Linked DNA regions of Caenorhabditis elegans. The protein of the gene in region 1 interacts with the protein of each later gene in a pairwise test. Each region holds a gene or a part of one and is shown in the gene's direction. Other genes may lie near its edges.

Evidence for each region.
Region 2: the proteins of mig-15 (region 1) and T28D9.1 interact in a two-hybrid assay, tested with the Caenorhabditis elegans proteins (one large-scale study listed by BioGRID).
Region 3: the proteins of mig-15 (region 1) and dct-1 interact in a two-hybrid assay, tested with the Caenorhabditis elegans proteins (one large-scale study listed by BioGRID).
Region 4: the proteins of mig-15 (region 1) and uaf-1 interact in a two-hybrid assay, tested with the Caenorhabditis elegans proteins (one large-scale study listed by BioGRID).

Annotation. Positions count from the first base shown.
Region 1 is NC_003284.9:10,420,603-10,431,387, reverse strand, and holds mig-15 (Serine/threonine-protein kinase mig-15), read left to right. Parts: upstream 1-2,813; coding exon 2,814-2,858; intron 2,859-3,236; coding exon 3,237-3,404; intron 3,405-3,699; coding exon 3,700-3,897; intron 3,898-3,944; coding exon 3,945-4,185; intron 4,186-4,805; coding exon 4,806-4,949; intron 4,950-5,148; coding exon 5,149-5,536; intron 5,537-5,624; coding exon 5,625-5,745; intron 5,746-5,989; coding exon 5,990-6,547; intron 6,548-6,856; coding exon 6,857-6,943; intron 6,944-7,045; coding exon 7,046-7,156; intron 7,157-7,239; coding exon 7,240-7,266; intron 7,267-7,576; coding exon 7,577-8,059; intron 8,060-8,106; coding exon 8,107-8,442; intron 8,443-8,519; coding exon 8,520-8,598; intron 8,599-8,646; coding exon 8,647-8,867; intron 8,868-9,105; coding exon 9,106-9,189; 3' UTR 9,190-9,733; downstream 9,734-10,785. UniProt on the Caenorhabditis elegans protein: Involved in cell migration and signal transduction. Important in several developmental processes including epidermal development, Q neuroblast migrations and muscle arm targeting.
Region 2 is NC_003280.10:6,489,709-6,496,147, forward strand, and holds T28D9.1 (uncharacterized protein), read left to right. Parts: upstream 1-2,693; 5' UTR 2,694-2,697; coding exon 2,698-2,819; intron 2,820-3,076; exon of another isoform or gene 3,077-3,209; coding exon 3,210-3,333; exon of another isoform or gene 3,334-3,381; coding exon 3,382-3,477; exon of another isoform or gene 3,478-3,682; coding exon 3,683-3,730; 3' UTR 3,731-4,070; downstream 4,071-6,439. Other genes in the region: snr-3 (putative small nuclear ribonucleoprotein Sm D1), read right to left, coding at 1-45; rsp-5 (putative splicing factor, arginine/serine-rich 5), read left to right, coding at 461-648, 700-951, 1,279-1,357, 1,403-1,510; T28D9.11 (uncharacterized protein), read right to left, coding at 2,100-2,285; twk-49 (Potassium channel domain-containing protein), read right to left, coding at 4,155-4,270, 4,328-4,511, 4,558-4,659, 5,217-5,309, 5,363-5,521.
Region 3 is NC_003284.9:7,950,440-7,957,670, forward strand, and holds dct-1 (NIP3 homolog), read left to right. Parts: upstream 1-3,916; 5' UTR 3,917-3,935; coding exon 3,936-4,131; intron 4,132-4,313; coding exon 4,314-4,569; intron 4,570-5,000; coding exon 5,001-5,171; intron 5,172-5,221; coding exon 5,222-5,264; 3' UTR 5,265-5,747; downstream 5,748-7,231. Other genes in the region: sfxn-2 (Sidoreflexin), read right to left, coding at 5,936-6,083, 6,128-6,230, 6,281-6,408, 6,923-7,195. UniProt on the Caenorhabditis elegans protein: Initiates apoptosis in a BH3-independent mechanism possibly by recruiting ced-3 to mitochondria and other cytoplasmic membranes. Has a role in lifespan and tumor growth. Required for the induction of mitophagy under stress conditions.
Region 4 is NC_003281.10:1,072,274-1,080,105, reverse strand, and holds the start of uaf-1 (Splicing factor U2AF 65 kDa subunit), read left to right. Parts: upstream 1-3,550; coding exon 3,551-3,780; intron 3,781-5,630; coding exon 5,631-5,926; intron 5,927-7,560; coding exon 7,561-7,719; intron 7,720-7,832. Other genes in the region: Ras-related protein Rab-18, read left to right, coding at 1-148, 200-424. UniProt on the Caenorhabditis elegans protein: Necessary for the splicing of pre-mRNA. Binds to the polypyrimidine tract of introns early during spliceosome assembly.

The DNA of each region.
Region 1 (10,785 bases):
AGTGAAAAAATGAAACAGTGAATATGATTTCATTTAGTACGAATGAATAAACTGATTTGCATTTTGTGATTCACTATCGTTTTGTAAGGTGAAAAATATTCAGAAAACCATCCATCCTCCGCTCTGTTCTTTTTCGAAGTGTTTTATCTGATTCCCTACTAATGCGGTGATAAAATCGGCACTATCACCATGTGTACCCCCAGTCCATCTCTGTTCCAAGACGCGCGTTGTTGGAGGTCATGGTTATCAAGTTGTGTTGATAAAAAGTAGACCAGTCTTTTATTCTTTATTTTCAATTCGCTCTTTTCTCCTATTTTTCGTGTCAAATGAAAGAACAAGATAAGGCGGATCGGAGAGGTTTTAGAACCAATGCATCGCCACTGGGTGTCATCACTAGACCTTTGGGAACGCTGACTAATTGCTGTTTCACTACACATACATACACACTCTGGCGCCACTGGTCGTTTTTCATTCTGTTTCTTATCTTCCTCGTCGACTTTTTTCTCCCTATTCTTCCATATTTTTTGTCCTACAGCTTTTCAACTTCCTCTATCTATGACTTTTCCCTTTTCTCCGATTCATCAGAAAATGTATTCTGAGCTCTTTTCCACTTTTCGTTCTCTTCCTTAAGCAAGAATGGCAAAGTAAAAAGGAAAAAAGAGCAAGAATAATTTTGACTCCTTCCTCTGGGCTACTTTTTGAGAGCGGCTGTAGTACACTTCTAGAACAACATGAGGTCAAGCTCATGAGAATAGGAGGACAAGGGAAAAGGGGATTTCCGATCTATTGTTATGTACCGACTCACGTTTTCTTTTTTTTTATAAGAGTGATTCAGACCGGATTTTTTAGTAAAATTGTATTTTTAGTTCAATGTTATACTAAAATAATTTTATATTATTGTCTATTTTAAAACGTAACTGTAAAAAATTCGCATTCATTGTTTTTCATTTGAAGAATGTCTCTGAAAATTCTTTAATTCAAAAATGGCAATATTCACATTGTTGTTTTTTGTCGAAAATAAAAAAAGTTGCGGGAACTTCGAAATGCGAATCAAAACTTGTCGTATTTTCTTGATCATTTTTACACACCATGTAATTATTTTGCTACTTCATATTTTAATTCAGTATCATAAGCTATAAAAATTAATGGTACTTGTGTATTATTTCCCCTTAATTTTTTGAAATTGATTATTAAATAAAAACGTGTGGAGTTTTTTTTTTCATTTTTAGGCATAGTAAATTACCATTTCTAAATTAATAAGCTACAAAGATATTCAGAAAAAGATATAGCTTATAAGCTGTCAAAGCAAAGCATTCGGTGCAGGACATGGAAAACTTTTAAATGAAAACACGTGTTTTGAAATTAACATATATTTCAAAATATGAATTCTACATCAGAACATGTTGTGAGCAATTCAAAATTTTCAATAAATAATAATTTTGGCAATAGATTCATGTTGTAAATTAAAAAAATCAGGCAATATATTAATATTTTATGGTTTTTTGATACAATCCTTTTTTTCTTCTGAAAAAATTGTTCCCGAAATGGATACTATGTAGGCTAAATAAAACGTTTCCACAAGAATAGTTTTTGTTTGTAATTTAAAACCTCTCCTTCTTTTTGCAACGTCTAAATAGGAAATATACCTCAATGTGCCATAACCTTGTTTTTTTTAGCCATGAGCGTCACTAGGATCTAGTGGTCGTAGAGACAAATACCATCGCTAAATCATTGTTAATCGGCCATTGGAGAGAATATTCGTTAAATTGATACATCTACCCCTTACTCGATCCCCCTTCATTTATTCACCATCATTAATATCTATTTAGAAGATAAGCATCATTTCATCTCAAATCAATATAATAAATGTAGATCACCAAACAGAGGCATCCCGCTATTCTCACTCAGTCGGCAGCTATATGTGATGCTGCTGTTGCCTTTTTGTGTGTCTTCTTTGGGAATGGACAGGCGCTGTTTCCATTCTTCTCCACCAGCGTCTTCTTCATTCTTCGTCCGTCCTTCATCATTATTCGGGAAAACGAGCGGGGGAATGAAATGGAGAGAGAGAGAAAGGCGGACGTCGGAGGCCTTCTTTTCGGAATCAAGGCGAATTTCTTGCGGCCTTCGATCATCCCTCACTCTCTTTCACAACCTTGTCTGCTTGACCCGATGATGTCTTTTGACCGCTTGTCAATTCAAATTTGCACGTCTTGATTGCTATCAGAAAAATTTAAAATTGCGAGCATTTTTAGGAAATTTTTTTTGCAGCAACAGAATATGAGTTATCCTATTCAACGGTTGTCTGAAACTTAAAAATTGATAATTCTTTCCAACATTATAAGAAAAATATATTGTTTTTGCAGAAAAAACACTTAAGACTTTTCTACTTTTTGAACACATTTAAACAATTTGTGCATTCTCATTTTTTTCCTCTATTTCCCGGCTGTGTAACAATGCTGGACGCGTCCGTCCTCCTTGTGCCGTCCACTGGTCTTTCTCCGACGTCTTTGATGATGCATTCCTTATCGATCTAATTTTCTTTATCACAACATGTGTTTTTTTTTCTGAAACAGAATGGTTGCTTCGTAATAATCTTGGAAACAATATTTTATTTTGAGTCTTTAGATGAAAACAATATATTTCTGTTTTTGTTACTTTTGATATAATCTGAAAATTTTTTTCTGTTTTGTTATACTTCCTGTTTCTTGTAATTTACAATAAGTGTTTTTTTTTTCAGATTCAAGTTAAATTCAAGGAGTCATTGTGTGGTTTAAGTGTCGGCTTGCTCCAAGCCGCTCACAGCACCCAAAACCATGTCGTCATCAGGACTCGACGAGATTGATTTGAATTCTCTAAGGGTGAGTATTCGTGACCACCCATACATCAAGTAGAATGCGCACAATGAATTTACTGAAAAATGTTAATTTTTCTATTCAGTCTGGGTTATCGCCCGTGAAATTAATGGTGTTTCTATAGAAAACTACCTTTTGAAGTTGAATGAAACAATCAATTTTTGTCAGCTTTAAATTTTTGTCTCAAAACTAAGAAAAAGTGTATTTCGCAACATTCACACACACACAGACGAAGTCCCACTTTCTTTCTTCGAGTGTGTGTGTGTGGTGTAACAATTTTAAAAAATCATGTTGCTCTCTTCTCAGAAATATTTACAGCTGAGTAGGGGAAAGAAAATGCGAAACTACACCAAACAACACGGAAATCACAATGATTTTTTTCAGGACCCGGCTGGAATCTTCGAGCTAATTGAGGTTGTTGGAAATGGAACTTACGGGCAAGTGTATAAGGGTCGACACGTTAAAACAGCGCAACTTGCTGCAATCAAAATTATGAATATCAACGAAGATGAAGAAGATGAAATTAAGTTAGAAATTAATATGCTAAAGAAGGTATGTGTTTTGGTTAAACAAAAATATTCCTTTCAAAATTCCCCAAATATGAGAAATGGAATTAAACCTATTTTCGAATTATTAAGTTGTCCAGAATTTTAAATCAGTTAAAAAGAAAAAAAGAAATATCTAATTTCTGATAAATACATTTATAAATTATATTTGTATGAATTGATGAAAACTTAAAAACGAAAGCTATTTTGAAGACAGTTTTGAAATAGTGTGAAAAAGAAATTTCAAAAAAAGGAGAACACATCGATGAGGTCTTACACGGAAGAATCAAATTGATTTGCAGCACTCCCACCACCGGAACGTAGCCACTTATTATGGTGCTTTCATCAAAAAGCTGCCCTCTTCGACCGGAAAACACGATCAATTATGGCTGGTAATGGAGTTTTGTGGAAGTGGTTCTATCACCGATCTTGTAAAAAACACAAAGGGAGGCTCTTTGAAAGAAGAATGGATTGCATATATTTGTAGAGAAATTTTGAGGGTTTGTCTTTACCGATTCTCAGACATTTTCAAATGTATTTCTTATAGGGACTTTACCACTTGCATCAAAGCAAAGTTATCCATCGTGACATAAAAGGTCAAAATGTGCTTCTTACGGACAGTGCTGAGGTGAAGCTGGTAGATTTCGGAGTATCTGCACAACTTGACAAGACAGTTGGAAGAAGAAACACATTTATTGGAACACCATACTGGATGGCTCCCGAAGTTATTGCATGTGATGAAAGCCCTGAAGCTACTTATGATTCACGTTCGGATTTATGGTCTTTGGGTAAGTAATGACGATGTGTAATATAAAAAGTTTTTATAAGGCTTGGTATCAGCATTTCACTGATTTAAACACTGAATTTAGCAACGCACCCAAAATATATTTCTCAATTTTATTAATTTAATTCTACTTACAATAATAATCAAATTGAGGTAAATTGCAGAAAACTAACGCTGATTTCCTTCTCTAGAAAGCTGACAACAAAAAAATATGGCTATCAGCTTACTATTTCGAGAAACTAATTTTTTGGAAAACTTTAGCTAAATGAACACTGAAAACTAAGTTCTTTTCTAATTTGAAACTTTTAATATACATATTCAACGTCATTTAATTTCCAAAAGTGTTCTAGTAGAGCTATAGTCTGTTCTTGAACATACTATTTTGATGTTTTTTCTCACTATTCCAATATTTGCTCCGTCTCCTTCAATTCCCTCAACATATCTCCCTCCGGACATTTTCGTTGTGTTTGTGTCTGCTTTCTTTCATTATTTGCATTTATGTGTAAATGGGCACAAAATTCGTAGTACAACAGCATTAAAAAAGCAAAAAAAAACCAAACAGGGGTTTTGTATAAATGGAAAATGACTCATGGAGTTTCAAAATCTTATTGTTATCCAATTTAGGAATCACGGCATTAGAAATGGCGGAAGGTCATCCACCGTTGTGCGATATGCATCCGATGAGAGCGTTATTTTTAATTCCAAGAAATCCGCCGCCAAAGTTGAAAAGAAATAAGAAGTGGACCAAGAAGTTCGAGACTTTTATTGGTGAGTTTTTTTGCAGATAATTTTTCAGTCCGATTATATGAAACAATAAATTGTAAAAATGTGTCGCTATTCGTATTTTTGAAACAGTTTTGCAAATGGGTTTTTGCTGAAATTTTAAGGAAGCACGCACGGGCAAATAGAGTACATTCCAAACAATATTTTCAAGTCTAAATGATGCAGGTCAAGTTTTAAATTTCAGAGACTGTACTTGTGAAGGATTACCATCAAAGGCCCTACACTGGAGCCCTACTTCGTCATCCATTTATCAAAGAACAACCACATGAGCAAACGATCCGGCATTCAATCAAAGAGCATATTGACCGAAATCGGCGGGTGAAGAAGGATGATGCAGACTACGAGTATTCCGGCAGTGAAGATGATGAACCATCTCCGAACAATCGTGGTCCTTCAATGGGCATTCGAGATGACTCGGAGAGCAGTTCAATGATTCCAATGGATAACACATTGCGTAAAGGCTTTCAAAAATTGCAAGAGAGTAGTCGTGGTTTTGCAGAACCAGGTGCTCAGCAGCTGAGGAGACTGCCCCAGCAACCAGCACCAGCTCCATTCCAATATCAGCAGTCTCGGTATGTCACCACTTTCACTCAATACTTTTCACAGTTCAGATTTGACGTTGTTCTCTTAATAGTTTCATTGTAAATTTGAAACCTTCAGATACGTTGAGCCAAGACGAGAATCATCCGAAGTCAAACTGAGGGCTGTTTCATCTAGAGGAGCTGCCGATGGTCCACGTCATTCGCCAGCATCAAGGCCACGGCCCGTGAGTCATCATCAGGTTTTGTTTTCTTACCTTCCTTTTAATATTGTCTAAACAGTCATTCAGTACTAATAATATACTAATAATAACAAACATTAACAAAGTTGAAGCATGTAGGGTATGAACGATTCAAATAACCAGTTGAGGTTTTTTTTAATAATAAAAATAATGGAGGCTATACAGAAAAAATGTTTGTTTACCTGGCTTAAAAGTGTTTGTAGTGTAGTTTTAAAAGTTTTAAATAACGTAAATAAATTTTCAGCGATCTCCACAACAATCCCATCCTGCAGCCCCACACTTGGCGGATTTAGCAAACTATGAAAAAAGAAGACGATCGGAACGAGAAGAGCGACGGGAAAGAGAACGTCAGGCTCACCACGCTATGCCGATTGCACGTGTTTCTGCAAGTGTACCTGCTCCACAACAGTCTCGAAAAATGTCAGAACCCCTTCTGATCACTCATGTAAAACCAGAAGATCTTGACGTGCTCGCCAGTGAGCTTTCTAAAATGGGCGGTCATCACAATGGACGCAGTCGCGAGGAGAGCATGAGCCCACCGCCACCGGCGCCACCACCGCGTGAGGCATCGATCTCGTCTATCACAGACACGATTGACGTGGGTGAATTGGATAATGGAGCAGATGCGGAGTGGGACGATTTGAAGGACATTATGATGAACGGAGAAGGCACACTGCGCGGCCCGAATAAGCCGCTTCCGCCAACACCGACAGATGGCGAGAATACACTTGTGTCAGATGTGCGTCGCAATGGAAATGGAAATAGTGGCCATGGGGCTTACAAGGGAAAGAAAATTCCAGAGGTTGGTAGTGTGAGATGAGCGAAAATATATACTCGTTTCTTTATTTTTTTTCAATTATCTAAATTGGTGCATTTCAAAAATCGATAATATCAATAAGATGCTCACTTTAAAAATTAAATAAATATGAAAAAGCCAATTAAAAAAATAAAAACACTACTGTTTCTGTAGCAGCTATTTTCAAAAAATTATAACTGGCAATAACATAAAGGTGCTTTTAAAATAAAAGGAACTGCCACGACGCCGGGAAAATTTGAGATAAGCTTTCACAACTCAATTTAAAACGTATTTAAAAAACAGAATATTTTCTAGATTCGCCCTGGAATTATCTCTCTTGACGACGACGACAGCGACTCGGACAACGAGGAAGGCAACGAGCCCCTTATGTTCAAACCAATTGTACGTTGTCCCTTCTCTATTTTTTTTTGGTTTCTCTCGGCCAATGTTATACATAGTGTTGACGGCTCTATACCACTCGTGAAACATCTTATTTGGTTCCAGAACGCCTCAAGCTCGCGCGGCGCCCTGCCAGATCTCTTGCCCAAATCGCCACAACTCCGCCGTCAAATAAATGACCAAACACGCCAGATGAGTGACGATCGTGCAGATGAGGTGAGTGTTTTGATTTGAGAATAATATATGTAGTGGAAACCATAAATTTGAACGATAAAACATGTAATTTTATAATTATGTAGAGCGCCTCTCTATTTGGAAGTTTTTATGTAAGTTACTCGATTTGAAATGACAGAATTTGTTGTGATTTTCCGATTTATTCCCCCTTTGGTTAAACTGTTGGTCATCTTTTCAGAAAACAAATCATCCTGTGTTTTATTGTTTTTGATGCTGGTTATTCAGTTATTTTAATTTTCGAAAGATATGTAGTTCTTCTTTGTTGCGGTTCTTTTTTTATTGTTTCAATGTCTTTGGATATATTTTTGATGATCAAAAATCAAAATACAAATTTTTGTTGAAGTGATTATATTTTGTCAGAAGATAAATTTTAATAAATAATAAAACATGATTTGATTTCAGCAACCAAATGGATTCCAAAACTCTGACAGCCGTTCATCAATTCAGCATTCATTTTCGAATCGTGATCGCGAAAAGTCATTTGTTGGATATTTTGGTGGTGGCGCCGGAGCCGGTGGTGGCACAGTAAATCGACCAGGGAGACCGCAAGACATTAACCAAGTTCAAGTTAATGTGACACCAAATTCTAATGGAACACCAGCTGAGAACGATGCTCCAGAAATCAGGAAGTACAAGAAAAAGTTCAGTGGAGAGATTTTGTGTGCAGCTCTCTGGGGAGTTAACTTGCTTATTGGAACAGACAGTGGACTTATGCTTTTGGATCGAAGTGGACAAGGAAAAGTTTACCCGCTCATCAGTCGGAGAAGGTTTGATCAGATGACGGTTCTCGAGGGACAAAATATTCTCGCAACAATTTCCGGAAGAAAAAGGAGAATCAGAGTGTATTATTTGAGCTGGCTCCGTCAGAAAATTTTAAGAACAGAGGTATGGTTTATAAACATTTTGGATATATCTAATTTTATGTCTTATAGGGTGCTGGAAGCGCCAATACGACTGAAAAAAGAAATGGATGGGTTAATGTTGGAGATTTGCAAGGAGCCATTCATTTCAAAATTGTTCGCTATGAAAGGATAAAGTTCTTGGTAGTTGGTCTAGAGTCGTCAATTGAGATTTATGCGTGGGCACCGAAGCCATACCATAAGTTCATGAGTTTCAAGTCATTCGGATCTTTGAGTCATGTTCCTTTGATTGTCGACTTGACAGTTGAAGACAATGCAAGACTCAAGGTTCTTTATGGATCGACAGGTGGATTCCATGCAATTGATTTGGATTCTGCAGCGGTCTATGATATTTATACGCCAGCACAGGTATGATAACTTCAGAATAAGAATTGAAAACAAAGATGAATCATTTAAATGTTAGCCTTTTATTTTTAATTGTTTAGAGCGGTCAAACTACGACTCCACATTGCATAGTTGTTCTTCCAAACTCCAATGGAATGCAACTCCTTCTCTGTTATGACAGTGAGTTTTCAAAAATAGTATTCACTTCTTTATCTATTCTTATTTCAGATGAGGGAGTATATGTTAACACGTACGGAAGGATGACAAAGAATGTAGTCCTGCAATGGGGAGAAATGCCAAGCAGTGTGGCGTACATTTCAACGGGTCAGATTATGGGATGGGGCAACAAGGCGATTGAGATTCGATCCGTTGACACTGGCCATTTGGATGGAGTGTTTATGCACAAGAAAGCTCAGAAGCTGAAATTCTTGTGTGAGAGAAATGATAAAGTAAGCTTTTTTAATATTTTGTCTTTACGAAGATTGTTGAAATTATTCCGTTCGTATGATTTTTTTGAAAACTCCATTTATGTGCCTCATAATGATAGTGCATATCAAAATTAATCTTAATGGATTTATTATTAAAAATGTGGTTTTTTTGTGAGGAAATATAATACGCATTACATAAGTACCCATAAGTGTACACAAAAAGTTTCGTATCTTCATCATAATTTCTAATTTTCTTCAGGTATTCTTCTCGTCTGCGAAGGGTGGAGGGTCTTGCCAGATCTACTTCATGACCTTAAATAAGCCAGGGTTGACAAATTGGTAAACTGGTCTCGAATCAATCGTTTTCCATTTTTTAAAATATGTATTTGTAAAATAATCATTTATCAAAAAAAATTAATAATAATTGTTATGGTCGTGTGATTGTTGTCGTCATGAGAACCATCATTCTCTCCCGTTTCCCCGCTTTTAGCCAATTTCAAAGTCATTTTCTAACCATGAAACCATCTCGATACTATTCCCTCTTCCGCAACTGTATTTCAAGCATCCATCCAGGATTTCAAATAACCTAATATGTTAAAATCTACACTTTCCTCTTCATTTTCCCCGTTTCAAAATGTTTATGAATAAAGATAAAACAACAAAAATTTGCTCACAATGTGATTAAATCGCTTTTTAGGCATTTCATGTACATTTCCGTCACCCTTCTCCAAATCAAAAGTGCTCATACTCGTATTATTTGAATATTATCCTAATCATTTTTCAAATTCCTCCGTCCAATTGCCTAATCATAATTTTCTTTGTTCTAGTTCTGATTTATTTTTCCTTTGAATAATTGTCTCAAAATTTAAATAAACAATTAAAATCCTAACGTTTCGATTAGTTCAAGTGAAAAAAAAACAATACTAAGTTCAGTCTATGACGTTTCAATTAATGGAAGCAAAGATGGAATGGCTATCAGATTTTTTAAATCTCGACAATAAGAAACTGGTAATCTACAATGATCCTACTGCATGCCTCTAATTGTTCACATTTAAAAAAAAGCTGAAGTAATAACCTTAACCTTGTTATCTACAAATTGCTAGCAAAAAGTTTTGATTCTTCTCCAATAAAAAAGGAATTGATAAAACGTATTTCCTCTATTAGTCTTGCATGCAAGACTAATTTTCGATTGGACCGGGTTGCAATACTAATAGAGGAAATAAGGTATATGCGTTCTACTTGAATGATACCTTAATTTCTTAAAATACACACGGAACAGAAACGATATGATTCCAGAATGTATTGTTAGTAAAATATTTTATGATATTTCAAAAAATGCTCCTGTTGCTCAGCTGAAGAAGACCAGCAGAGAGAGTGAACGTTGCGTATACACAGTATCTACCCAATTGTGGCATTTCATCTTTTTCATTGATATGCTTATAGGATTTTATTAATATAACCTCTTTTGCACACAATGTCATGCTTAATAGCCTCAGTTAGATCGCATGCGATTACGGGCCGCGTACGGACCAGTTTGACGGATGATAGACAAAATGGTTGCCCAGAGGAATTTTTCATGAAAATTGAGTTTTTGAAGTACCAACAATGCTATTTGGTTCATTGTAGCCAGTTGGCTAATTTTTTGCCTGATTCAAGGTTTAGTTTTAAAAAGTGCAGTTTTGCCGACCGGGACGGTTAATTTACGGACCATCTACGGACCGGCTACGGCCAAACTACGGATGATCACCAAAACGGAGGATAATACGAAAAAATTTGTTCATGAAAATGGAGTTTTTGAAGTGCCTACACTCTCCTTTGGCTAATTTGAGCACTTTTTTCGTGCTAGAACCTGAAATTTTCAAAAACAAAAATTTGTTGCCCGGGACGGTTCATTTACGGTCCGTCTACGGGCCGGCGACGGACCGTCTACGGACCGGAA
Region 2 (6,439 bases), on another chromosome or scaffold:
GACGGTCTCGTGAGACAACTTCATCAGGAATCTGACCAACTTCATTTTTCTACCTGAAATACATACAATTATAGAAGAATAAAAGGAAACGATGGAATTCAATAGAAAATACGACGATAAAAATAACTTTTAACTGATAAGAAAGAGGTTATGACAAATAAAAACATCTGCATCAAGGAAAAATGTTTCAAAACAGATTTCCAGTGACTGGAATCCAGTCATTTTGAGCACATTCGAAAATGCAAAAGACTTGGCGGCATGCCAAGTGGTCTCGCAACGACTAGGAGTACGGTCGCACTCGTTTTCATGTGTGCGCTTTTGATAGAATTTCTTTTTCTTGACTTAGGACTTTCTCTTCTTAAAATTGAGATTGATTTCTCGAATTCATGTGTTTTTTTTACTGGGCTTAATGAACGGCGTTTAATAAATTAATTTTTGAATATAAAGTGATTTTCCAGAAATGCCGCGCCTCTATCTAGGAAAAATTCCATACAATGCACGCGAACGCGACGTTGAGCGATTCTTAAAAGGATATGGCAAAATTAATAACATCTCAATGAAGTATGGATTTGCCTTTGTCGATTTTGAAGATTCTCGTGATGCTGAAGACGCATGCCATGATTTGGATGGAAAAACCATGGAAGGAAGGTAATAAAATAATAAACCAAAATTAAAAATGTTCTAACTTTTTATTTTCAGCTCTATGCGCCTTGTCGTGGAAATGGCTCGCGGAAAACCACGCGGCAATGACCGTCATGGATCGAGATCACCACGACGACGTTCCCGCTCTCCTAGACGTCGTTCACGTACTCCACCAAGAAGACGTTCCCGCTCTCGTGATCGCAAACGTTCTCGCAGATCCCGTTCCAGAAGCTCCTCCAGATCCAGATCACCAGTTCGTGAAAGTCGTCGCAGAAGCGAATCCCGTTCGCCGAGCCCGAAAAGAGACTTGTAAGTTAACTTTAATGTGTGGATTGTTTTGGAAGGGTGCCACATCACGAACCGTTTTAGCCACAGTTCAATGAGAAATCAATATCACCTACAAGCCCACATCGCAATGGCATACACATAGCTGAGACAGTTCGAGCACAGTATGGGTCAACTATCAATACATTTCAATTCACTTCTCGTTCAGTCCCCACAGTTACCAAAAGCCGCTGTTTCGATTAAAAGAGTGAGATCCCTAACTTTGAATCAGACAACTTCGCGCAAACATATCGGTTTCGTATTCGAGTCCTTTAGATTCCGACTCTATTAAATGCAAGAATTATATTTTAGGAAGCGTGAAGCGTCGAGATCTCGTTCACCACTGCCAGCAAAAGATCGAAGCAGAACCCGAAGTGGATCTCCCCCAAAGGTAATTCATTTATGTGCTTGTATAGTAAAAATCATATGGTTTCAGAACGGCGGAGATAGAAAGCGCAGCGTGAGCCGTGGAAGAAGTCACAGCCGAGATGGCAGCAATCGCAGTGTGTCTCGCTCTCCGTCTCCAGGATCTCCAAAGGATTAAAATTGTGTTTTTATACCGTTTACTGTTGTTCATTTACCACTTCTATTTTATAATATTTGTTCATCCTCAGAGCTGTTCTGATTTTAATAATTCCCGAATAAAACCGAGCGGAGACTTCCTTCATTTTTTAAAAATATTTAAAGGCACATGGTATTATTCACACAGGTCTCACCACGATTACTTCAACTACTGTACAATATTGGGGAATTTGAAGGTCGAACGCAATTTTGGGCTAATTTACTGCTTTGTTATTTTTACTGTTCTGGAAATTGCCGTTGTACTTTTTATAGTCATTATTATTAGAAAAAACCTTTTACGAGATTTTCGAGCTAATTTTTATACTCATATATTGAAATAGAACGCAAATTTTCGAGTTTTCTAAACAAAAAGCTTATCGTTTTCTATTCTCTAAATTGAAAAGAGTTGCAAACTAGGACAAAAACCGAAAAAAAGGCGAATTTTGAAAGCCTGCGAGTGATGTTTCCTTGAAAAATCTCGTCGAACATTTGTCGGTGTGTGTGTATTTGCCCCTTTTCGTTAGTTTTGTACAGTTAATGTTTACTAAATCTCGCGTTTTGATAATTACTGTTTAGATTAATTCACACCGCACGAAGCATGAATTTGGCACAGTGCCAAGAAAGCAGTCGACGAGAGGCTCTTGCGCAGCCGACGTTTGGGGCGGGGCCGTTTCGTTGTCGTCCTCTCGTTCTCTTGCCGGCGACGAGGCAATTCGAAACTCGCGGCCATCGCATTGAGGCTCTCCTCCCCTCCTCATTCTTCGTTTCGTCCGCTGTTGAGGAGTGTGAGTAGGACACCGCTTCCTTCGACCAGCCGGCCGCCTCTAGCTGTCCAGTGAGCGTTGCGTGAGTGTCAGGCACAGACTAGGCCGACGGTGGACGGGCGCGCAGCGCCGGGCCCTGTGAGGCGCGAGAGCCAAATAATAAGATGTCTCTTTCCGCGATAGAGTTGTTCGCGCTCTTCCTAGGAAAAAGTTTTCTAGAACATCGTTTGTGTTTTTGAAACGACAACACATCTAAATTAAAAAAAAATTTTTTCCTCAGTAGCAGATTTTTAATACAATAACTCGATATTTTTTTCTCAAAACTCAATGATATTTTCAAATGTTTCTTCTATTTCTCATTCAGATTTATTCACCAGCACTACATTAACATTTGTTTTACAGAAAAATGTCCGACGTTGCCGAGACTGTTGTCGCTCAAGAGCCAGAGGTTGTCGAACCAGTCGAGGAGAAGCCAACCGAGACTGGATCGGACGATGTCGTTGTGATTGATGAGAAGACCAGTGAGCAGTGAGTTTTTGTTTCATAATTTGCGATTTACCTGTGCATTTTTCTAAAACTGTAGTATATAGGTCAATTCTATGGAAATCGCGAGCCACTTTTTTGTATCCATCTGCGCGCGGGCGTTGAGTGGTGTTTTCCTTCGAGGTCACTCGTAAGACGTGAATAATGTGGGACGGTCATAATGGTAGAAACTGTTCTGTGAAAAACTGAGGGGTCATTCATATTTCTTTCTATGCCCTTTTATTTGTTCATAGTATGTGTATTGGTGCAGTGTGCAGAAGGCATGGTGCCATAAAGAAGACAGGCGGCAATGGTGAAAACAAATACGGCGTAGGGTAGTGAGCAGGCAACAGATTGCACTAATCCGTTTCTCTACAATTTATACTATTTTTGTAGGAACGGTGAAAAGACAGAGGAGACTCAAGCTGAGGCCACCGAGGAGAAGAATGAGACTGAGGCTGAAGAGGCCGATAAGGATAAGGCAGTCGAGAACGGAGAAGCAAAGGACACCAACGGCAACGTAAGATAGTTATATATTATTTTTGTTGACCAATTTTTATTTTTGCAGGATCGTAAGCGTGTGTCCAGCGCCCACGAAGAGGCTCCAGTCGCCGACGCAGAGGAGGATGCTCCATTGACCAAGAAAAGCAAGGTTGAGGATGAGGTGAGAACGAAGGGCAGGAATCTAATTAGGCATTCTAAAAAGATATAGGATAGGCGTATGCGACTTAGCACTAATTATGGGATATATCGGGGCGTAATGTGTGCGATGTACACGAGCAGTTCTGATGAATTCTTTATGAATCGCTTCATCTTCCGTTAGGGACTAATATTCAATGTCATTGTCAATAATTCGATTTCCCTTGCAGGTTGACGTCGCAGCCTCTGGAGATGCCCCAGCTGTCGCCGCCGAATAGGTTGCTTCCCAACAACAAATGCCACTTCATCCTTCCTCAAATTCCCCGTTTCAAAATCAACATCTTTATCATCAATCTGTACATGTTGACCAAATCCATTAAAAATGTACTTGTCCGATGTTTCGACAATTCTATTTTGTCTCTAAGCTGATCCCATCTTGATTTTTCTTAATATTGGATAATTCCCTCATCAAAAAAAGAATCTCATCATCTCCCTGGTGTTGGGGTTTTCCTATCGTTCCGTTTAAGTTAATTCGGATTCCCCTCTCCAGGTATTTGTTAGTTTTAACATTGTTTTATCCAACCTCTCACTGCAATAAAGTTAAAGTGGCAGAATCGTTGCATAAGCATTAAAGAAACAAGTGTTTTGAAATTGAAAATCTAGAAGCAATAAGCACGAAATAAATTATCAAAAGTTAAGATATTAGGCAGAGGTAAGCTTGCTTTCTCCAGCTTCATCTACGATGACCTGGAACTTTGGTGGTGGTGTGAGGCGCTCCAGCTTCTCCTCGACTCCATTGTCAACTTCTTGAATTAGCACTGAAGAAAAATATATTTTGGGGATATTTAAATTACTAATGGTTTAATTGAACTCACTTTCTTTTGGGAAGAAAACGGAAAACGAGACAAGTAGAATGAGGATAAGAAGAGAAACCGAAATGGTAGCAGCAAAGTTCAAGAACAGGATTCCGCAAGTTGTAATTTGTGCGGGGCTTGGAATTTGGACAGTAAGAGATCCAGTGAAAGCATGTAAAATGCTAAGCCAGAAGTCATTGATCACCTTAAAAACAATAAGATTCAAAGAGACTCAGATATGATGAAGATACCTGATAATAGAGACAAAGGCCAATGAGGATTGCCCAGAGAATAAAGAGACCAAAGGCCGCAAGAATGAGCAGGAAACGACGCGAACGAGTTAGTGATGGCCACTGAAACCTTATTCTTTTTAAAATTAAAAATGTAATCATCTTTATAAAATTATTAATGAAAACGTATTATCTATACGACTTTTTGTGGAAAAATACTGTGCCTGGTCTCGACATGACAAATATTTGGTAAATGCGAAAAGGCGTGCGCCTTTAAAGAGTACTGTAGTTGCAAACTCTTGTTGCTGTGGAATTATATCGTAGATTTTTCCTAGTCTTTCTCACGATGTGTTAAAATTTATATGTTAATGTTCCAATAGATTTTTTTCATCAATGCAATTTTTTATTAACCTTAAAGGCGCGCACCTGTTCGCATTCTACAAAAAATCGTCGTTTCGAGACCGGGTACCGTGTGATTTCACATGTACAGTTGGGATCTATGAAATTCTAACAATCTCGAACAATAAAAAATTTTCAGAAGTCTTCCTGGTTTCAAAAACATTCCGAACAAATAAAGTAAGTCATGGTCCTGTTTAATAAATACTTATGTATGCCTAAGCTTTTTCGTGATGTCATTGAAATATTATTTCACAACAAAAATATAACCTTCTTCCACTAACCTTTAAAACTGGAGATACCAATCGACAGACGATGAGTATCAGAGTACTGTAGAACAATGGAATACCAATTAGACAATAGAATACAGCAAATATCTAGAAACAAAAACACAAATTGAATTGAGGTAGAATATATTGCAGGAAATTACCTGGGAACCAACAGTAGCTGGAACTTTGAATCCACCACCGATCGTCAAAAGAAGAGAATACGCAAAATTAAAACTGCTAATCCAAGACCATTCACGACGAGAAGGAGGAACAATTGTTAATTTGTCTTCGTATCGTTTCAGAGATTCCACAAGTAGTTGCTGAAAATTTTTGGGTTTGAGGTAGGACTTGATGGTTTCCTCAAAGGAAAATAGGCGCCTGGCAAGAGTATTCCTGATTACAACGGAATTTTATATTTATGTTAATAGTTGTATAGTTCCATTTATTCTATTATCTGTTTCATTTTCATAATGAAAATCATTTGGGAATGCTCCAAACTTTTGATCTTACTATTAGTACATTTTTCATGTAAACCTTTCTCATCTTTTTCATTTTCTTTATCATTTCTCTCTCTCTCTCTCTCTCTCTCTCTCTCTCTCTCTCTCTCTCTCTTTTCTCTTTCTTTTAGTTTTGGTTTCCATTAGCAACCATATAATCTCTTCTGAATACATCTCAAGTTTCTGTCTCTATGTCCCTACTTATTTTTCCTCCTCCTCCTCTCACTGATATTATTCAAAACGAAAAAGGGAATCGAAGAAGGAAAAGATGGGGTCACAACGATATGAGGAAGATGGGCGACAATATTGACCATCCCTTGGGGAAATCTGACCAAAAATAAGAGCAATATATAGTAAGTTCTTTCAAGTGGAAGAGTCAAAAAGTGACGAATCTAATCACTGCTCCAGATGAAGTGATGGCTTTGGATGTTTTGAGAAACCACATATTTGTATCACATATTTGTATGATTTAACTATCAATTAAGCGTTAGAAGAACGTGCTCTCCAGGAGCTGGTTCGAATCTTAGAAATTTGGCAATTAAACTGCTGCCAGGGTTTAAACTGCTAGAATGGTCAAATATACAAACACTTGAATTGCAATTCAAGTCTTCAATTACTAACAGTACAAAATTGTACCATTAGAGAACACCTGTCAAAATTCAAAATTGGAACAGCTTCAGAGCAAAAATATATAGAAAAACAAATAGTTACAAAACTTTTCGTAGTCGCTCGAAAAATCAG
Region 3 (7,231 bases), 2.5 Mb from region 1:
CTAACCATCTGCTAATATTAGGTTACCACTCTAAAGGGGTAAAGAGGATTAGAAATATGTGTCATTCTATGAATAAGTTCAAACAATACAACATCTTCTTTAAGAACACATCGCGTGATGGCTGCTTCAACGTCTTTTTCTTGAGTTTTTTTTTTTTCCAGAAATTCATTATTATTTTCTAGAAGTTGAGCTTCCAATTTTCCATAGTCAAAGAGAGTTAAAGACGTAAAAATTTAGTTACTTTAGTTTACTTCAATTTTATAAAAAGACGTCTAAAACGAAAAAAAAATTGTGATGCTTCATAGTTTCGAAAAAAAGGCCTCAGTCTAACCAAAATCTTCAAATGCGCCGAAAATTATGTTTTATTGAATAATGTGCCGTTATTGAATTTAGCTCATTTATTAGGCATTTATGAATAATTTTGGATTAGCATTTTCAGTGGAACCTGTCAATTATTAAAAAAAAAAACGTTGTTTAAGCTTTTCTAAATGTACCTTTCAGGGCACTTTTCATTTCGAGAATACTCAAGTTTTCAGTATATGAAAACTTATCGGTAATATTTATTTTCATGTAGTTAGTACATCCTACAGATAAATTTCAAATCCGTTTTCAGAAATTAAAAAAAAAAATTTCGAAAGAATTTTCCACATTATTACGTGGACCAATTTTCGCAAGAGTTTTTGACGTAAAATCGAGAAAATTGGTCCATAAAACTATTTTTAAATCTAAAATCACGTTTGTTTCATGTCTAAAATGGACTTCAAGCTTCTCTACAAAATGCGAAATTTTCAACAATACATATTCACATAGAGAACATAAAAAGAACACCAAGAGTTTCTTGACGTTTCTGGAATTTTTTGAATTAAAAATTCTTACACTTCGTATTGATATGATATTCCTTAAAGTTGTTGAACAGTTTATCCTCTCTTTTCAGGTAAAAAATCACCTCACTAGAACCTAGTTTTTGAAAAATGTAATCTCCCCAACTGCTAATTCAACTTCACTGGTTAATGCTCCCATATAGTCGATATAAAATTCCTCATTCTCCTCTTTTCTCTGTTTTCTCTATCGAATAGTTTCAACTATAAAGAGAGAAGAGAGTAACGCTCATTATTCAGCGAATAGAGCGCCGTCTCGGCTGGCAAGAGCTGCCTGCCAATTGGCATCTCCAATAAGTCCGAGTGTGTGTGTCCATTCCACGGCTACATACGCATCCAATTCTAAACATCAGCTGATCGTCTCCCCCGCTGCGTCTCTTCATTGCGCGTGCTCTTTATGAACTTTTCCGCCTGCGTGCGACTGGTCATGTGCACTTTTTGCATGCGGTCTCACATGATTTACCACGTATTCCTGGCTGCTGCCTGTCTTGACGTGCTTGTTGGTGAACCACCACCCTTTTACCACTTCTTCCACCCCTTCTCTTTTATCCACCCATCGATTCGTGTTCTCCGTATCTCGTTCTCTATTCACGGCGTTCCCCTCCTCGGCCTCCTTTTGGTAAATACGTGGTGGTCATATGACTAACAGCCGGGAAAAGAGAAAGAGCCCCCCCTGTGACTTTTCTGTTTTCCTATGCCTGATTCTCGCAAAAAAATTTCTTGTGTATCTTGAGAAGAATAATTAAGAAGTGAAGCCAGTTTTTTTTGGTTTGGCCATTCTAACTTTCTTGTCGATTTCGAATATTTTTTCAGCTTTTTCAAAAAAAAACCCACCTCAGTCTCAAAATTTTCGCAATAAGAAGTACTATTTGAAAAACTAATAAAGGTGGTATGCATTATCGTTTGTTTTTTGTCTATCCGCAAAAGCTCAATTCCAATCCTCAGAACAAAGTTTGTTTATCATTCATAAAACAAACATCAATCAAACACCTCCTTATCTATTTTTCTACCCATAGAACCATTTTTATGTCAAACTGTCTGCATCTTCTGTACCACGCATAATCTTATTTCAGTTCAATCAATCTACACCTGTGTTTCTTGAAAAACATGTTGGTCTACGTGCAACAAGTACGATCCACATGTGAACATCATATGATTGCATCACATTCGCCTGTTCAACCCTGTTATATTGGCGGATAGAGTAGATAGTAGATAATTGCGACCCAAATCTTCTTTAGTAATTTGCTATTCGTTTTATTTGTCTTAATTGTTGTGACCGGTGTCACTTGCAAGTTCGACTTTCGAAAAGTGGTGAGGTGTATCATGTGAACTTTTTGATTTTTCATGATGGGTGCCCGCCTGTCAACTCGGTTTTCGATTCAATCACATTTCCGTGCAAAATTCTGGCCAACATGACATTTAAGAAGTTCACAATCTGATCAGATTCTTATTTAATTAGTAAGACAAGTTTGTGGAAAGAAGTTTCTTAAGTTATTTCATATTAGTTTGTATGCATCAGTTTTGTTCTTCTACCTAGTTTTTCAATAATTATTTTCTCATCTACATTTTCCATTTCTTTTTTAGAAACAATATCTGGTTTGTTGGCAATACGGTCACATGTACTTCGGAAAAGCGAAAATGCGAGCGAAAAGTGAGACAGAGAGCGTCTGTGTTTGTTGGTGTATCACGCGACATAATAATATGCCTGGCTGGGTGCCAATTCTACCATTTTCCTCGAATTTCTGATTTCCTGAAATTCGCCGCAAGTTTATTGGCTTTTACTAGGATTGAGAACCTTCATTTCCCCCTTTTTTCAGTTGGTTCAAACTTTTCAGAATCTGATTTCGGAATAGTACATATTTTCCACGACTCTTTTATCTCAAAAATCAGCCACCTGACATCAATAACGTTGATTTTTTTCTTAAATATATTTCATAAATTTGCCCTGTTTCTTTTACTCTTCTCATTTCTCCACAGTAATGTTATTTTAATTGCCTTTCTTAATTTCAAATTTTTATGTCGCATCACGTGTTGCGAAAAACACCCGTCTCAAAACCACAGTTGATCACGCTGAAAGCAAGTTTGTGAGTAAAAGTAGTGAAAATGAGTAAAAAACACGCGTGAGCAGGCATCTCGTTTTCTGACTATCTAATTAGCTACACTCTTTTCCATTTAGTTCTAAAATTAGAAGAGAGAACCAATTTTTGTGAATTTCTTGAGAAAAAAAGATGGGTTGCAATATTTTTTAAAAAACATTCTCATAAATTCTTTAAAGAGAGCTATGAACCTATGCTTTATTTGAAAAATACTCAAGGGTTATCAAATAATAAAAGCCGAATACGACAAATGTTTATTAGTTCCAATCCATCAAATAAACCTTTTCCTATTTGGCAGTTGAATATATATTTGCTCACAAATATAATACATTTCTGGCTTTTGCTCTTTTTAATTCACAACTATTCTGTTCTCATATTAAATCGATTCAATCCGGTCATCTCATCTTTCTTGTCGTCCACCCACCACGAAAAACAAAACAATCGCGTCTCAAACATTCGCAGTACACCACACAGAGCGTCTCAGATAGCACAAATGTAAATAAGCAAATAAATAAATAACTGACTGGCTGACGGAATGAGGTTTCAAAATAAAGTAAAATTTAACGACTTTGTGAAAAGCAAAATATTTTCATTCGTCTCTCCAGTTTTTTTTCCGGGTATTTGCTCTGTAGAAAAGGTATTATGAAATTTTTTGTCTAACGGACCTCCTTCACTTTTGCCCCCAATTCTGTTTTATTGGAGAAAACGTTTATAAATAAACTACGCCATCTGCTTGTGTAGACTCTGAATTTGTTTGTTGATTTTGTAGAGTAGATATGAAGGACCTAGCAACACCTGCATCGTTGGGTTGCTATAACAACTCGTATTTATTGTTAACCCGTAACTACTTCGCTATTTCTTAATTTACAATTTTACAAGTTTCGATTTCTTCTCATATTTGTAAACACAATTGGTAATAATAGTATAATAGTAATGTTTCAGAGACGGGTCTTTCCTAACAATGTCCTCATTTCTTGAGTTTGCAAAACCCAAAATGCTCGATATCAAAAGAAAGATCAACTTTGCGTCCGGCGAGAAGACGGATGAGTCTGTGCAACCGCAACAGCAGACGGAGCAGTCATCGGCTCAACAGACAACACCATCCGCAAAAGCCGTCTCAAACCCATTTATCACCCCATTGACCGAGAGTACACCTGGTTTGTTTTACTTTTTTTTCATTACACTTTTGCCCTAGGCAAATCGTTAGATGAATTCTCATGTGACCGATTGGGCTTTTGATTTTTTGAAAGTACACACATCTTTGCAAGTTTACAAATTTAACACCTATTCACTTTTCACTAACTCCAACTTAAATTTCCCATGTTCTTGAACGCTTCAGGTATGTCAGAATCGTGGGTGGAACTGGCACCAAGCCGTACCAGTTTGTGCAGTAGCGTCGATATTAATATGGTGATCATTGATGAAAAAGATAAGGATTCGAGGCTGAGCCCAGTCTCAATCGCACAATCTCCTCACGTGGAATTCGAGAGCTTAGAACAAGTAAAGTACAAGTTGGTTAGAGAAATGCTTCCTCCCGGAAAGAATACTGATTGGATTTGGGATTGGAGCAGTCGGCCAGAAAATACACCTCCAAAGTAAGTTTTATAGCTACTAATGGGTTGAAAGAAGCTTAGTTATTTAGACTTCAAAATTAATTTAGAACCAGGGATGCGCTGCATTTGCTAACCAGCAGTTCTACAAAATAAGCCAGCATGGCATGTTCTCAAAATAATTCTAAAAAACGCAGATACATTGTTGAAAGATTAAAACTGCTAGAGAAAAGTTACATAGTTTGTCGGACTATTTTCAGTAATTTTCAACTTTCAATCTAAACTAAAATATGTTTGCTAATTGAAAATTTTCTAAAAGAGATTTTTTGAAAATACTTTTATATTCCATACCTAAATGTTACTGAAAATATTGGAAGAACATGTTGCAAGGTTCAATTTGTAGAATTGCTAGTCGACACCCCTGCTCAAACCATACCGATTTTATTCTGTGTTGAAAAAAAAAACAAAATTTGCAGGACTGTCCGTATGGTTCAATATGGCTCCAACCTTACCACTCCGCCAAACTCTCCCGAGCCAGAGCTCTACCAATACTTGCCATGCGAATCTGATTCGCTTTTCAACGTTCGCGTAGTCTTTGGTTTCTTAGTCACCAACATCTTCAGCTTTGTCGTTGGAGCAGCAGTAGGGTAAGTATTTTTTTCAGGAAATTTCTTCCAGAAAAACTGATTGTCTTCAGATTTGCTGTTTGCCGGAAACTAATCAAACATCATCGTCAATAATTCCAAACAAAAATTTTAACGTTCCACTTACCTCATTTCACTGTACATACATTCCAGCAGTGCTGGAGATTGGGCATTTTTACCCTTTGATTCACAATACTACATTCTCTGCAAAATTCTTCCGGAGTCTTCTTGCATCTTGTCAAAAAGATTCGAATAAACAATAATTTTGCCATGTTTCCCTTCTCTCCAAATTGTCATCTTTCAAACTGTCTCCTGAATATTCCTAATACTCAAAACATTCCTACTACAGTTTTGAATTCAACACATCTAATCGCGATTTGCTCTCACGATTAGGTAATTTTAAATTAATTATGTACATAATATAGCTTTATACACTGAATGTAATTACGACTTTTTCTTTGCTGTTACCTGGGCATTTTGATTCTGAAACTTGCTTTTCCATGTTTTTCTGTCATCACAAATTGTAAATATTTCTAAAATACTGTTACAAAACCACGCATTTTAATAAAATGTAAATATATTTTTGTTTAGTTATGATTAAATTTATTATGCTGGAATTTTTAAAAACTGATAAGTAGACAATTGCACAGATGTTATTAATTGCACAATTCAAGAAATGTCTACAACGAATCATTCTAAATACCAATTTGCACGGAAATAAATTAAGCTGAAATCTATGTTTAGTTAACTAAAAGCTCATAAATCGCTTATAATCCTTTGTTGAAGTACACTCGATCTCCCTTGATATTTTTCAGTTTTTCAAAGGCTTCGGGCTCCCATCTTTTCAATGTTGAAAGCTTCACAGAGTTTTGCTGAGGGAAGAGAGCGCATCCGACAGGAATCATTGCACCATAACTAAAATTCACATTTGTTGTCTAGAAATATGACTGCTCTCTCACATCACAAAAGTTAAAGCCAATTGAGTTGGAATGTTGAGTTTGTTGATATGCTTCCGGAATGAGGCCACTTTGTTCAAGCCTTCCATGATGACAGGAGTGAGGACTAAAATGAGGCATGAAGCATGACAGGAAAAGAGTAACGGCTAAACTCACTCATGCATGGGGCAACGATAATATTTCTGGAGAGAACCACCAGGGAGATGGCTTTAGCTGCGGCTAACCGGGAAACTCCAACGTTGTTTCCATCGGCATCAGTGACAGTCATACCTTCTTTGAGTTCACTTTAAAAAAATGATTTAAAGAACTTTTTGAAGAGTCAACATTTCCACTATTTAAATTCAACTCATAAAATTATACCCATATGCCAACAATAACGTGAAAAACCTCAATTTATAGGTCAACACATTTCCGAATTTTTTTTACGGTTTCTAGTTGAATACAAAAGTAGATGGTCTTCAGTTTACAAAATAAAAATACCATAATGGTTCAGCTGCAACATCATAGACAGCCTTATTTTAGAAAATCCAGTTTTTCATTGACCTCTCTTCATTATTAATAACTTATTGCATATAAGAAAAAAGTCAAAAGCGGAATGATTTTAGGAGTTTTACGTTTTGATTTTAATTTTGAATGGGTTTCAAAATAAATCACTGATAAGAAAGCAAACTTTAAATTTCTGTACTCCTAAATTTCAAAGCTTTCAGATTCAGGGCTACAAAGTTAACCTCGGATTAAAAACATTTAAAAACTTGGTTGAAACTAAAAAATACTGATTATTCTCTAATAAGTACTCACTTCTGACGCATCATAGGGATGTTAATAGCATTAGCCACTGCAACGGCTCCCAGTGGTACTAATCGTTGAGCCAAAGGACTGCTCTGTTTCTTAGCAAAATATGTTTTCAGCCCAATTGCCATTGCCAGTGCTCCAGACACTGCTGTAGAATACGATACAACTAAGTCTTTTGTTGTCAATGTGCTCTTTGCATTTCGATTGGTATAATTGACCAGTGCATTAAATGACTGATTTGCCCATTGCCAGAAAATTACAGCTGGCGTCGATTTGTACCTGGAACAGTAATTGGTTTACTTACTTTTATACTTT
Region 4 (7,832 bases), on another chromosome or scaffold:
TTATCGTGGAGCACAGGGCGTAATTTGCGTGTATGACGTCACTAGCCGCAGCTCCTTCGAGAAATTGAATCATTGGATGCAAGAAGTCGATACTTATTGCACAAATGACAATATTATCAAGATGATGGTCGCGAACAAGATTGATATGGTGCGAAAAAGCCGATTTTGTTCGATTTTTGGCCTAAAAAATAATTTTCAGCCAAATCGAGTGGTAACCCGCGAGGAAGGCCTAAAATTCGCAAAACGCCACCGCACACTATTCATTGAAGCTTCTGCGAAGACTAAGGAGGGTGTACAGTGCACATTTGAGGAGCTTATCGAGAAAATCATTCAAACGCCCGACTTATGGGACAATGACCGCCCGTCTTTTCGGTTGGGACAACCGACGGGCTCCAGTGGTGGCGGCGGAATGTGTGGATGCTAGGAAATTCTCGCGGAAAATTCGTTCATTTTGACATAAAATCGATATTTTTACTGTAAAATTCATCAATTTTCACCTAAAATCCTGTTTTTTTCATGTAAATTGTCAAAATTTGACCTAAAATCCTGTTTTTTCCATGTAAAAACGTGAATTTCGGTTTAAAATCGCCAATTTTCCCTCAAAATCGCCGTTTTTTCCATATAAAAATGTCCAACTTTGGCTTAAAATCGCTGGTTTTTCATGCAAAGTTTATCGATTTTAACCTAAATTAGGCCTTTTTCCATGTAAAAATGCAAATTTTCCCCTAAAATCGCCAATTTCCCAGCAAAATCGCTGTTTTCGATGCAAAATTCATCAATTTTCACCTAAAATAGCCCGTTTTTTTTCATGTAAATTGCCAAATTTTGACCTAAAATAACCATTTTTTCATGTAAAATCGCCGATTTTGGCTTAAAATCGCAAATTTTCCCCCATAATGGCCGTTTTTCATGGAAAATCGCCGATTTTGGCTTAAAATCGCCAATTTCCCATCAAAATCGCTGTTTTCGATGCAAAATTTATCGATTTTCACCTAAAATAGCTATTTTTCCCTGTAAAAATGTCAATTTTGACTTGAAATTGCCAATTTTCACCTGAAATCCCCGTTTTTCATTCAAAATTTATCGATTTTCACCTAAAATAGCTATTTTCCATGAGGAAATGTCGATTTTGGCTTAAAATTGCCACTTTTTCATGTAAAAATGTCAATTTTTCTCAAAAATCGCCGTTTTTCGTGCAAAATTTATCGATTTTCATCTAAAAAAGCTATTTTCCATACAAAAATACCAATTTTGGCTTAAAATTGCCACACTTTTTCATGTAAAAATGCCATTTTTTCCATGTAAAAACGACAATTTTCCCCCAAAATCGCTGTTTTCCATGTAAAATTACCAATTTCGGCTCAAAATTTCCAATTTTCATGTAACATTTATCGATTTTCACCTAAATTAGCCATTTTTCCGAGCAAAAATGCAAATTTTGGCCTAAAATCGCCAATTTTCCCCCAAAATTGTCGTTTTTCCGTGTAAAATTCATCGATTTTCACTTAAAATAGCTATTTTCCACGCAAAATTTATCGATTTTTACCTAAATTAGGCCCTTTTTTCATGTAAAATGTCAATTTTGACCTAAAATCGCTGGTTTTTCATGCACAATTCATCGATTTTCACCTAAAAAAAAAGTTCTTTTCCATGTAAAAATGCCAATTTTGTCTTAAAATTGTCAATTTTTCCCCAAAATTGCTGTTTTTAATGTGCAAAATTCATCGATTTTTCCGCGAAAAATCCCCGTTTTCCATGCAAAATTTATCGATTTTTACCTAAATTAGGTCGATTTTCCCCCAAAATTCCCCCATTTTTCATGTAAAATTCGTCCATTTTCCCCGCTAAATTGTACAAAAAACCACCCGAAAATCCCCCAATTTCACATAATTCTTGTCAAATTTCACACATTTTCAGTGCCTTTAAGCCCCGTTTTTTTGCTATAAAATTGCAACATTTTTCCTGTAATTTATTGGATTTTTGTGTTATTTTTTCTCTCGTTTTCAGCGATTTTCAGCATATCTTCATCGATTTTTTGCAGATTTTCAGCTATTTTTTTATCGATTTTTTTGGGAGATTTTTGTCATTTTTCACCTAATTTTATTGATTTTCAGCCTAATTTTGTGTGTGCTTTTACCCATTTTTCTATTATTTCCATCATTTTCCCCGAAATTTTATAGATTCTACCTATTTTTCAGCAAAATCTCATTTTTCAGCGATTTTTCATCATTTAAGCTATTTTTTATCGATTTTCACCGAATTTTCAGCTATTTTATCAGAAAAATCTCAGTTTTTTCCGGCAAATTCACTCAAATTTCGCCTATTTTAGCGAGGAGCTCTTTTTTCCAGCATTTTCACCGAATTTTCTTTTTTTTTCGTAAAAAAATCACCAAATTTCCTCATTTCCAACCTATTTTCTCCATTTTTTCGCGGTTTTTCCCGAATTTTAAACAATTTTTCGCCAAAAAACCCCAAATTTCTTCATTTCCAACCTTTTTATTCCATATTTTCGCCATTTTCTCGGGATTTTCAGCTATTTTTTCCAGAAAAACTCCTATTTTTTCGGCAAATTCACTCAAATACCGTTTATTTTCTCACAATTTATCGTTTTGGAGCTATTTTTCCAGCATTTTCACCGAATTTTAAGCAATTTTTTAAAAAATCACCAAATTTCCTCATTTTCGTCCAATTTTCTCCATTTTTTCGCGATTTTGAGCAATTTTTTCCAGAAAAACTCCAAATTTTCTCACTTTCACCCTATTTTTTTCCATATTTTCGCCATTTTGTCGGGTTTTTCAGCTATTTTTTCAGAAAAACCTCCATTTTTTCGCGATTTCCACCGAATTTTCAACGATTTTTCCAAAAAATCGCCAAATTTCCTCATTTTCGCCCAATTGTCTCCATTTTTCCGCGGTTTTCCCCTGATTTTCGGCTATTTTTTTTTTCAGAGAAACTCATTTTTTCGCGATTTCCACCGAATTTTCAGCTATTTTTCCATTAAAAAAACCCATTTTTTCGTGAATTTCTCCGAATTTTCGGTTTTTTTTTTCAGAAAATTCGGAAAAATTGGAATTTTTCACTGAAAACTCTGAAAAATTCAATAAAAATTGGATATTTTTACTAAAAACTCGGGAAAATTCGTGAAAATTGCCGTTTTTCACGTGAAAATTCGAGAAAAATTGAAAAATGTGGAATTAGTATCCAAAAATGCTCTCGGAGCCCAAAATTCAGGAAAATCCTGAAAAAATTAACCAATTTTACTCAGAAAACTGCAAAATTTTTTTTTCAGTTTTTCTCGCAAAAATGTGCTAAACTCTCAGATTAAAATTCAATTTTCCGTGGCAAATGTGCTCTATCGGTGATTTTGGTGTGAAAATTCCAAACTTTTGCATTAGAAATTACAAAATTTTGGAATTTTCCACCCGAAATTGCTCACAGGAGCACATTTGACCACTTTCCCGGGGAACCTCTGCCCAAATTTTCAAATTTTTCCATCCATTTTCTCCGGATTTTCAGCTCTATTTTTTAAAGAAAATTCCCAATTTTCCAGATGAGTGATCACCAGGATGGCATGAAACTTGAAGATATTGAACGCCAATTTTTGGACGTTGCTCAACGTGAAGGAGGTCTCGAAGCGATTCAGCCGACCACTGGACCACTGGAAAATGAAGAAAATCTGAAATCATCGACTGGTGGTGGTGGTGGAGAGGATGATAATGATCGGAAAAAGAGAAAACGATCGAGAAGTAGAGATCGCGATACGAGAAGACGCTCGAGAAGGTGCTTAAGCTGGAAAAAATTGCATTTTTTGACGGAATATTCGAGAATTTTCGTGGAAAACTCGGCGAAAATCGAGTTTTCCGCTAGAAAATTGACCCAAAATCGGATTTTTAGGAGGAAATTTTGTTTTTTTTTGGCCAGAATTACGCTGAAAATCGCTTTTTGCATGAAAAACGGCTTAAAAATGACTTCAAACCCAGAAAATCAACATTTTTAGAGCAAAAATTCGAGGATTTTCGTCGAAAACTCTGCGAAAATCGAGTTTTCCGCTAGAAAATGGTCTAAATTTGAAGAAAATTGACCCAAAATCGGATTTTCAGAGCGAAATTTGATGATTTTCCATGAAAAACACTACCGAAAATCCCATTTTTCCTGCCAAAAAACTCTTTAAAAAATCGATTTTTGCTTGAAGAAATCCACCAAAATTTTCATTTTCTTTGCCAAAAATCTATGAAAAATCGATTTTTTCACAGGAAAAGCGGAAAAGATGCAATTTTAGCTGAAAATCCACCGAAAATTCGCATTTTTTACTTTGAAAAATCGCAAAAAATCGATTTTTCCTTCCAAAAACCTCCAAAAAATTGCAATTTTAGCTGAATTTCCACGGAAAAGTCAAATTTTCTGTCCAAAAGTTTGCAAAAATTCGATTTTCAGTTGGAAAATTGCGTTTTTTGGTCAAATTCCACCGAAAATTCCCATTTTTTAACCTAAAAAGTTGTAAAATATCGATTTTTCCTGCCGAAAACCCCGAAATTTTCAGTCGTGGAAGCGAGAAATCGCAATTTTAGCTAAATTTCCCACGAAAATTCCCATTTTTTTAACCTAAAAAGTAACGATAAAATCCATTTTCCTGTTCAAAAACTCGCCAAAAATAGATTTTTTAATTAAATTCCACCAAAAAAATTCGCATTTTTCCGCCCAAAAACCTCCAAAAAGTCCCAATTTTAGCTGAATTTCCATTGAAAAGTCTAATTTTCTGTCCAAAAAACCGCAAAAAATCGATTTTCCAGTGGAAAATTGCGTTCTTTGGTCAAATTTTACCTAAAAATTTTGAATTTTTACAATAAAAAGTGGCGGTTTTTACTCAAATTGTACTGAAAAACGCAATAAGAATGGTTTTTCTGTCCAAAAATTTGCGAAAAATCCATCTTTCCGCCCAAAAACCTTCAAAAAATCGCAATTTTAGCTGAGTTTCCACGGAAAAGTCAAATTTTCTGTCCAAAAGTTGGCGAAAAATCGAATTTCCAGTGGAAAATTGCGAAAATTTACATTTTTAACTTAAAAAATCGATTTTTCCTTCCAAAAACCTGCGCGAATCTGACAAAAATTGCAATTTTTCTGCATGAAAACTCATTTTTCTAGCCAAAAAAGTGCGCAAAAATCGATTTTTCCCCTGGAAAATTGCGATTTTAGCTGAAAATCACTGAAAATCCGCATTTTTTAACCTAAAAAATCGCAAAAAATCGATTTTTCCCGCCAAAAACCTGCGAAGCTGCCAAAAATTGCAATTTTTCTGCATGAAAACTCATTTTTCTAGCCAAAAAATCGCGAGAAAATCGATTTTTCCCGCCAAAAACCTGCGAAACTGCCAAAAATTGCAATTTTTCTGCATGAAAACTCATTTTTCTAGCCAAAAAATCGCGAAAAAATCGATTTTTCCCGCCAAAAACCTGCGAAACTGCCAAAAATTGCAATTTTTCTAGCCAAAAAATTGCAAAAAAAATCGATTTTTACACTGGAAAATTGCGATTTTAGCTGAAAGTCACTGAAAATCCGCATTTTTTAACCTAAAAAATCGCAAAAAAATCGATTTTTCCCGGCAAAAAACCCCAAAAACCCCCCATTTTCAGTCGTGATCGTGGAGAACGTCGTGGTGGTGGAGGTGGAGGTGATCGTGATCGTTCTCGATCCCGTGAACGTCGTCGAGGCGGTGGTGGTCGTGATGAGCCGAGACGTCGTGGAGGTGATGATGAAGCCCGTTCGCGCCGTGAGCCGGAGCCCCAGAAGCCTCGTGAGCCCAAAAAGTACCGATTCTGGGATGTTCCGCCGACTGGATTCGAGACAACTACACCGATGGAGTACAAGAATATGCAGGCGGCTGGACAGGTTCCACGTGGATCTGTACAGTCTGCAGTGCCCGTTGTTGGTACGGAAAAATGGAATTTTTCGCCTGACAATTCGGAAAAATTCGAGAAAATTGGCGGTTTTTGCCTGAAAATTCGGAAAAATTCGAGAAAATTGGCAGTTTTCACTGAAAATTCGGAAAAATTCGAGAAAATTGGCAGTTTTCACTGAAAATTCGGAAAAATTCGAGAAAATTGGCAGTTTTCACTGAAAATTCGGAAAAATTCGAGAAAATTGGCAGTTTTCACTGAAAATTCGGAAAAATTCGAGAAAATTGGCAGTTTTTGCCTGAAAATTCGGAAAAATTCGAGAAAATTGGCAGTTTTCACTGAAAATTCGGAAAAATTCGAGAAAATTGGCAGTTTTCACTGAAAATTCGAGAAAATTCGATTTTTTCACTGAAAATTCGGAAAAATTCGAATTTTTCATCGAAAATTCGGAAAAATTCGAATTTTTCATCGAAAATTCAATAAAAATTGGATATTTTTACTAAAAACTCGGGAAAATTCGTGAAAATTGCCGTTTTTCACGTGAAAATTCGGGAAAATTTGAATTTTTCACTGAAAAATCGGAAAAATTGGATTTTTTACTGAAAATTCGGAAAAATTGGATTTTTTCACTGAAAACTCTGAAAAATTCAATAAAAATTGGATATTTTTACTAAAAACTCGGGAAAATTCGTGAAAATTGCCGTTTTTCACGTGAAAATTCGGGAAAATTTGAATTTTTCACTGAAAAATCGGAAAAATTGGATTTTTTACTGAAAATTCGGAAAAATTGGATTTTTTCACTGAAAACTCTGAAAAATTCAATAAAAATTGGATATTTTTACTAAAAACTCGGGAAAATTCGTGAAAATTGCCGTTTTTCACGTGAAAATTCGAGAAAAATTGAAAAATGTGGAATTAGTATCCAAAAATGCTCTCGGAGCCCAAAATTCAGGAAAATCCTGAAAAAATTAACCAATTTTACTCAGAAAACTGCAAAATTTTTTTTTCAGTTTTTCTCGCAAAAATGTGCTAAACTCTCAGATTAAAATTCAATTTTCCGTGGCAAATGTGCTCTATCGGTGATTTTGGTGTGAAAATTCCAAACTTTTGCATTAGAAATTACAAAATTTTGGAATTTTCCACCCGAAATTGCTCACAGGAGCACATTTGACCACTTTCCCGGGGAACCTCTGCCCAAATTTTCGATTTTTCCAAATAAAATTCTGTAAAAAGTGCAATTTTGCCAGATTTTTTGCTTCAAAAGCTCAAAATTACCGTTAAAAAAGTCAAAAAATAAAATTATTCCAGTTTTTGGTTGAATTTTGATTTAAAAATCGGAAAATAGTGTGCAAAAATCTGACAAAGTTACGAAAAAAAACTAAATTTTTGCCCTGATTTTGATTTTTCAGTGCTGAAAAACTGTCGAAAAATCAAAAAGTGTCAATTTTTATCTAGAAAATTCGAAAAACTTCACTGAATTTTTGAATTCTCTCGCTGTTCCGTGGCAAATGTGCTCTATCGGCGATTTTAGGTCGAGAATTCCGAATTTTTGCATTAAAAACTGCAAAAATTTGGAATTTTCCACCCGAAATTGCTCACAGGATCGCATTTGACCACTTTCCCGGGGAACCGCTGCCCAAATTTTCAAATTTTTCTCATTTTTTAGGCCCATCAGTGACTTGTCAATCACGTCGTCTCTACGTTGGAAATATTCCGTTCGGATGCAATGAAGAAGCTATGCTCGACTTTTTCAATCAACAAATGCACCTCTGTGGATTGGCTCAAGCGCCTGGAAATCCGATTCTTCTGTGCCAAATAAATTTGGGTACGACGGTTTTCGGCGAGAAAATCGACACGAAAAATGAGAAAATTGGCGATTTTTCTGGTTTTTTAGGCCGAAATTGACCCCGGAAATTGCTATATCCCCCCACCGAAAAT